2 linked regions of the Oryzias latipes genome follow. The protein of the gene in region 2 binds, or shares a complex with, the protein of the main gene of each other region. Links are inferred from orthologs where the notes say so. Each region holds a gene or a part of one and is shown on either strand. Other genes may lie near its edges.

Region 1 (3,431 bases), on a different chromosome or scaffold from region 2:
CAAGATTTTTTGGGCGTGGTCATAAGTGTAGACTGCGGCCATCAGGCGGGGATGATGCTAGTACGAAATTGGGCGACCACAGGGCGGTGGCAGACGGATCGCAGAGCTCTGATTAAACGATGTGTAAATGTCTCCGGATGGCGGATGTCCATATCAAGGGCCACCGGGGGGGGCAGGCCATTCTGGACTACTGGTCATTTGCAACTCGGATTTCGAGCACACATTATGTAATCTTGTCAATTTATAAATCTACAACAACATGCCTCCCAAGAAACCCAAACAAAAGGTCCAAGCAGTCCGACAACAGGAGTCTTCATCAGATGAAGAGCATCAATGCAGCTTCAATGGCGTCTCCCCATTTATATGCAGGGCCCACGGTGACAGGGAATCGCCAGATTGGTCATCGCCGGGCCCCTGACCCAGGTCAGCAGCCCATTTCAGGTGCCCGCGCTGGTACTGCACAATGTCTAACAATGGGATGGTGGCTGGAGGGCGACGATCTGAAATCGGCTGATCATCTTGAAGACCCTTCAATTATCTAATTATCGTACGGCTGCCTTCCTGCTGTTAATCAAATGTTCCCGGGCAGCCACTGACTGATGTCAAAAAAATTTTGTACTTTTCTTAAAACCTCTGCAGCGTGTAAAAATGCGACTGCCGGGTCCTGCTTACAAATGTCGCCGTGCGGCCACCTGACCGATTTCCTAAAAAAACGCACATTTGGGTCGCCGTGCGGTGGCGTTTAGAGATATGTGACTCAGTGGACCGAGTGTGACGTCACCCATAGAAAATGGCGTTCTCTCAGCTCCAACCAAATGAGGTCAATTCAGTCGCCACTTTATGACGAAATGGACGTCGCCATGTTGGACCCATCAGTGCTGTCTGTTGGGCAAACATTTTGAACGTTTAGGGTGGGGGGCATCCGGCACCACATACTGCGGCATCTGATTGGTTCGTTTCTGGGGTTTAACTGACTTAAATATGAAGAACAAACGTCACACACCTAGGTGCGTGAAAGCTAATGGAAAAGACTTTCCTCAGTAACATTCAAAAATAATGTAGCTAAAAATCCACCTTTTGAACTTCCCTGAAACGTTTAAAATATCTTCGATGTTCTAAATTCAGTGAATTTTAGTTAACTTGCAGGTTAAGCTCTTAGTGATTGATTGTCTTGGTGGGTTAACTGAAGCCAAAGCAGAGCTCAGTTGGTCCACACTTCCTGTTCTTTCAGACGGAGTCTCTTGAGCTTCACTTCCACAATCTTTTGAACGTGTTTGTTTTGAAGGAGCATTTTTGTTTGGGAAGACAATGGATGCCTTTAAAGACAAGGCCGGTGCTGGGCTGCCCTTGAATCTTTTTCCTGCATCCTGTGCACTCTGGTGTACGTCAGCGCAGTAACCGTTTCTCTGCCACCAGACTCAGCCTGCAGTAACCGAACATCTACGACAGCTTCATCTGCACGACTCGTGCGTTACCACACTCTTTGACCAACGGTCTTCTTGCTGAATTGAATTCTCTCCAGCTGATGAAGAACCCTGTGGGAGGGTTACATTTCCTGGAGACTCTCAGCCCAGCTTTGACCTTGGGAGTGTCTGATCTTGAAAGGAAGCCCTTTTTTCGAGATAAATACTTTTTCCCAGAAAGAAGTCCCTGCTGTTTCTGAGCAAAAACCTGTTATTTTCAGGGCTTTTATATGTCTGAGGTGGTTTGGAACCACAGGAAAAGAACTGAGAACAGTTTAGGTAATCAGATTGTTTCCACTTCGAATGAGAGGTGAGCTTTTTTCCACACTTCTAAAGGATCACATGTTGCTTTGCTGAGTAATCGGTGATTTAGTAACACCCTTGAGAACAGGATGTGCTGTGTCAAAATCTCTGTGAATTCAGACCGCATGTGTGCCGCTCCAGTTCCCCTTTGTTCCTGATAACTTAAGTTTCAGTTGAATTCCACAATGGAGATGTTTTCCTTCAACAGGAAATCGCACGGCATCTTCGGCCCAACACGCTGCGCGCCCTGTACGGCAAAGACAAAGTACGGAACGCTGTCCACTGCACAGACCTCCCTGAAGACGGGGTTTTGGAGGTGGGTAGCACCCATCCACATTGTTCCTTGCACTTTGTCCTTTGGTTCATGCATAGGCGACCACCTTTCCTTTAGCAAAAACAGAACAGCCATGAGCCCCGACGTTCTTTGTGTTTGCAAACGTCTCGTGACCTCGCTCCGTGGGCTGGGGCAGCCTCAGATCACGCTGGCTTTGAGGAGAACAAGAAGGGCCGGGGAATTTCAAACAAAAGCATTGTTTTTGCAGAGTGTGGGCCTGAACCGTCCGACGTCATTGTTCAGGAAAACTCCTGATCTGTCGCCTGGACAAATGCCTCCTTGTTAAACATTAGCTGGCGACTGACTGAGCTGCCATTTTCCCAAGACATATTGACCAAGCAAGAGCTGGTGCAGAGTTTCCAGTGACATCAAACAATGAGGCGTCACACAGATCTCCTGACAGTGTTCACTCTCTTTTTCAGGTGCAGTACTTCTTCAAGATCTTGGACACATGAAATATTTGTTTTATTTGATACCAAAAAAAAAAAATTGAGTTTTTCTCTCCATTTTTCTGTTTATTGTTTCAGCCTTATGCAGATTAAATAAAGTGACAGAATGAACTCCTGACAGGTTTTGTGATCTTAAACATTGAATTAAGTATTTTCACACCAACTAAGCATGTTATTACACGGGATACTGCGATGCCTCTGATATTCTCTAAGTTCTAAACCAGCAACTTTGGTATTGGATTCAAACATCACACTTTGGAAAAAAAAATGTACAACTGCATAAATATAAAATGATTCCATCGTGAAAAATGGCTAAAACATTTAATAGAAAGTTGCATCACACTCTTGTGATGTCTCCAGCAAAACAGATTTCAAAGCACTGAGTTGCCATGGTTTCCATAGAGGTGACAGCCTTTGCGGATGAAGCCGCAATGCTCTACTCTACGGATTAAAACTTGAACAAACGTTAAGAATCAAACAGAAATGTCAAATCATGTCTGACAGATAAAAAGAGACACATGTGTACAAATGCAGAACATGCAACAAAACAAAAAACCGAAGGGTTTAACGGAGCGCAATCAGAGTACCATGTAGTTAAAACGTACTGACAACAACCCCATGCACTCATATTTAACACACCTGCACACGGACAGCAGCGCGCACACACCTTGGACCACTAAAGCTGACATAAAACAGATTACAACAGGACTACGGCTGAGGAAACGACGTGAGGATCAATACCTTGGGTGGGGACAAAACACAACTCGCTACATCTCAGTAGTGGAATTGCAGTTTTATACAGTAACCGAACATCCCATGGCTCAAAGAATATTTTCTTTTACAGTAGAATAAATATCATCTATTGCTATTCTTGTTATTAAC
Region 2 (4,583 bases):
TGTAATACTAGATGAATAAATGAGGAAAAAACAAAATACGTGAAGACGAAAGGTTAAAAGTCCACATTTATTTGATTGTTGTCCATTTTTCTGTTTGTTTCTTGCCGTACTTTAATTTTAAAGCTATTGATGTTAGTAATTAATAAGCTATGATTTTTTTTTTTATTAAATTTGGTCAAAATTGAATCTTCTTTCATTTGATTGAAGGATGCTGGGCTTTTATTTTGACGGTTTTCCACCTTTCAGGGTGTTCTGAAGCACCGCTGGGCGGTTCTTTACCTGCTGCTGATTCTCTCTGAAGACCCCCGCAAACCATCCTCCAGGGTGAGCGCGCCCCCCCCCCACGACTCAAACACAATGTTTCTATCTTATTTCCTCTTCTGTCTTGTATAATTTCGCTGCGTCACGGATCGTCTCGCATCTTTACTACGCTGACCAAAGTGTCTCGTTTCAGGTTGGAAACTACGGGGGCCTGTTTGCCCAGGCCCTCCCCAGGGACGCCCACTCCACCCCGTTTTACTGCACTCGGCCCCAGAGCCTGTCGCTGGGTCACGGGGAACGGACCGCCGCCCTGGTGGGGAGCGTCGGGACCAGCGGGATTTCCAGCTTGGGGGTGTACACGCTGAACGGCCCCACGCCACAGTCGCTGCTGGGGGGGTAAGCTCTCTGGTCCGTTCACACAGAGGGGGCAGAAAGGAGGCGCACAAAGCGGTAGAAAATAACATTGTACTTTGCAAGGACGACTCTCACTTTTCCGCTGCTTTTTTTGTGATTTCTATTGTTTTAAGTTGTGAAGCACTTTGTGAATCTGAGAAAAGGGCTATATAAATAAAGATTTACTTACTTACTGCGTGGCGTGGCCGTGGCTTTTAGGAGAACAAACTCGTTAGTCTGTGGTCTAATAAAACCCACAGCGATGAAGCTAGCAGCAGCAGATGAACCGACCCGTAAAAAGGCTGTTTTAGCCGCCATTTAAGGCTGTTTCTGAGTTTTTATAGCTACATATGCACAAAGTGCAGAAAGCTGGTTGATTTGCACTAATGCAGTTTTTCATGTCAGTTTTCTGGATGCAAACTGAATAAAACCAGAATAAGAAGTTAGTTTACAGTTGAAACCATCAATTTGATAACATCCGTGACAAACATGAACCAGACTTTTCTGGTTCCAGAAAGATGAGTGAAGATGAAATGAAGTAAATAAAACAGGAGAAGAAGAAGTTAAAAAAGAAGGAAATCAAATAAATTAGTAGTACTGTAGTTTTATTGAAGTTTTTCCAGTTTTGGTCTTTTTTTTTTTTCTTTTTGCAAAAAAGCTGCGGTTTTAGAAGCTCTTTTAGTCCAAGAGTTTCTTTTCTCGCATTTTTTCAGGTTTAGGTTAAGAAATATTTTAATTTGGATTTTTTTTTCTGTTAAACTTTTTCTGAAACTCTAAAAGAGCCTTTTTTATTATTTTTATTTGTTCTTTTTCCTGCTCTTTCAGGTTTCATCCGAGGATATTTTTCTGTCTGACAGCCCCGTTCAGTGACTTTGAATAAAGAAATGCTACATTTGGATGTCGTTTTCATCGGGTTGTCTTATTGTGTTGTGTGTCTGCAGCGCACTTCCTTCAAGTGATGTGTTGGTTTTTTTGTTTCTATGTTTCAGTCAGGTGCCTCCGTCTGCCGCTGGAGCTGCTCCAACTCTGGGCTCACGGTTAGCCTGGGCTCTTCCCATAAGCTCCTCCCCTTCTGCATTGGCCCCGCCCAGCGCCCGACTTCCCCTCGGACCTCCGGTGCCGACGGCCAGAGTGATCCGTCCTCGCCAAGACGCCGATCTGACTGGTGAGCGATGCGGACACGCTCCGCAGTGTAAATCGGATTCATGAAGCCACGATTTTCAGATTTAATCATTTATTAGGGACTTTAATGAAAAAATAATACATTTCCCACAAAATGTTTAACTATTTTAATAAAAAAAACTCTAAGAAAAATAATTTCTGCTACAGAAATATTAGAAACAATCAATAAAAATTGATTCATGGGCTTTAAATTGTAAAAAAAAATAATAATAAATTTCATGGAGGTCAGAGAATGCAAATATTGAAAAACATTCTAGTAAAATGTGTTAATAAAATCTTTTATTGTATTTATAAATAGATACAGAAATGTTTACATTAAAGCCACTTATTTACAGAAATAAATAATGCAGTGTAGAAACATGTAACTTTCTAAATTAGGAAACATAAGCTCAAATGAATAAAATGAAGACATTTTCTGCTAAATATATTTTAAAGCAAACAAACTGTTAAAAATGTCCTTTGTTTCATTTAAACTTGTGTTTATTTTTTATGTTCTCTAATACAAATCATGATTTTTATCCTGTTTCTATCGTTAATCCATCAAATGTGAACTTTTAGAATAAATCTATAAATAAAATAAAAGCTCATCCTCTTCTTTAGACGTCCAGCTTTCACAATAAAAGCACAACAACCCAACACTTCCTGTTTTAATGAACAGAAAGGATAATTTTCCAGGTAAAATTAATAAAAGTCAGAGGATTTTTCTTCTTCTTCTTTAAAATTCATCACTTGCAGCTTTTCAAGGAAACCTAAAAAAAAAAATGTTTGGAAAAAGTTTAATTTGAATATTTATTAAGCTTTACAAAGTAAACCCCATTTCTAAGGTGGGTTTTTTTGGAGATGATGATTGAGTGACCTGTCCACCAGGTGAGGTCCACGAGGCTGCGCTGGTGCGGGACATCCTGTACGTCTTCCAGGGAATCGACGGGAAGTTCATCAAGATGAACGTCCAGGAGAACTGCTACAAAATCGACAGCAAGGTACTGACGGCCGCAGCCAGCAGAGGGGTGGGGGCTGCACTTTACCGGATCGATGTGAAGCTCTCTGGATAAAAGATGCCGTTTTTTGCCTTTGTGGTTTCATCAATGAGGAGTATTTTCTCCTAAACATAGACTCAGTGCTCCACCAGACCAAGATAAACGAGGCAGGAATAGAGATAATGGGATGTTTTTAGTTGTTTTTTTTAGTCTTCACACAAAAGCTGTCCTTCAGGACATGAAAATTTAATGCACCTTTTCCTTCAGAAGGTAAAAAAAAAAAACAATCGTCATCTTGATGACACTTCAGAGACGGAGCTTTGCACTCTTGAGCAAACCAAACGCAACCTTTAGTGCCTTATTTGATCTATCACTCAAAATGTAAAACTTTTATAGTGTGTGATATAAGCCCTGTAACAAACCATTAATAGTAAAAGGAATGCTAGAAAATGAAAATACTACCAATTACTGTTTTTGACAGTAATCAAAGGTGGTTAATATATCCAAAACAATATTCAAAACAGATTAATCCCAATAAAAAATCGTTCTTTTTTTCTTTCCTTTTCTGTAAACAACTTTTATTTTATGAGCGTACGATTCATTTGGACACTTCTCTAAGCCCATACAGTCGATTCAGAGGCTAGGAGGATGAGGCATCCCCAAAACGGGGCGGGGTCAAACGGGATCTGAGCAAAAAAAGTCCTTCCTTCTGCTCAGATCAAGCTTGATTCCTGGATTTTAAAAGCTCCTAAAAGCTTGTGAGTCGTTGGTCTCAGAAAATCCCATCACCTCGGGAAATATAAACAACTCACGCACGACATGAAAAAAAGTATCATAAATGTAATTATTGTTATTTCTGTTAGTATTGAGTCCAGCTCGTTGACGTCATAAAGTCGTTTTGAGAGTATTTGTTACGACTCTCCTCGACTCGAGCTGACGTTTCCTCACTAGGTGGTGCTATGCAAATCCCTGAGGGACACCAGCAGCAGACTGGCCGAACTGGGCTGGCTCCACAACAAAGTGCGGAAGTACACGGACGCCAGGAGCCTGGACCGGGCCTTCGGGTTGGTGGGGCAGGTGCGTGTGCTTCGGCTCCATCAGTGGTCCTTGTTCTTGGATGTATCCGCCCTTAACGCCCGTCTGCCTCTCTCCGTCTGCCTCAGAGCTTCTGTGCCGCGCTCCATCAGGAGCTGAAGGAGTACTACCGGCTCCTCTCGGTCCTCCACTCACAGGTAAACCCGCTACGGGAGGAGGAGGCGCCTCAAGTCCACCGTGTTTTTGTAAAAAATCCACACCTACGAAACCATCTTAGTCTGTTTTTCTGAAGAGAATTTTAGATATTCAACATGTTATGTGTGTGTGTGTGTGGTGGTGGTGGTGGTGGTGGTGGGGGGGGGGGGTAAAAGACATGGACCCTTGATGCAAACGCAGTGGGTTCAACTCTGTGGTCGTAGCCATCTTTGAAACGCCTTTAAAAATTGGATAAATAGTGGGAAAGGTGACAGTCATACGAGGCCACGCCCCCTTTTTGGTCTGATCTTTTCATAAAAGGTACCTTCAAAAACGTCAGGTACAGTCGTCATAAATGTTATACCAAACGACAGAGAGGGCAAGTTTCATTGAAATTCGATTGTAAACAACCCCCAGTGGTCACTTTGGGGAACTGCGGCCGCATTTCCATTTTGAAATGAGCTTCATTTGGGAAGTTGGTGTTGTCCCACCATTAAAGCATATGAATTGCCAGGATTTATTTGTATTTTAAATGTATAC

The links.
Region 1: tubgcp3 (region 2) and nme7 share a complex: the UniProt entries of both Homo sapiens proteins name them as parts of the gamma-tubulin ring complex. The link is inferred for Oryzias latipes from reciprocal best matches to the Homo sapiens genes TUBGCP3 and NME7.

The regions. Positions count from the first base shown.
Region 1 is NC_019862.2:27,522,592-27,526,022, reverse strand, and holds the end of nme7 (nucleoside diphosphate kinase 7), read left to right. Parts: exon of another isoform or gene 1-247; intron 248-1,974; coding exon 1,975-2,082; intron 2,083-2,522; coding exon 2,523-2,555; 3' UTR 2,556-2,577; downstream 2,578-3,431. UniProt on the Homo sapiens protein: Possesses an intrinsic kinase activity. Displays 3'-5' exonuclease activity with a preference for single-stranded DNA. Does not seem to have nucleoside diphosphate kinase activity.
Region 2 is NC_019860.2:22,839,757-22,844,339, reverse strand, and holds part of tubgcp3 (gamma-tubulin complex component 3), read left to right. Parts: intron 1-246; coding exon 247-324; intron 325-454; coding exon 455-657; intron 658-1,643; coding exon 1,644-1,819; intron 1,820-2,703; coding exon 2,704-2,816; intron 2,817-3,764; coding exon 3,765-3,890; intron 3,891-3,976; coding exon 3,977-4,093; intron 4,094-4,583. UniProt on the Homo sapiens protein: Component of the gamma-tubulin ring complex (gTuRC) which mediates microtubule nucleation.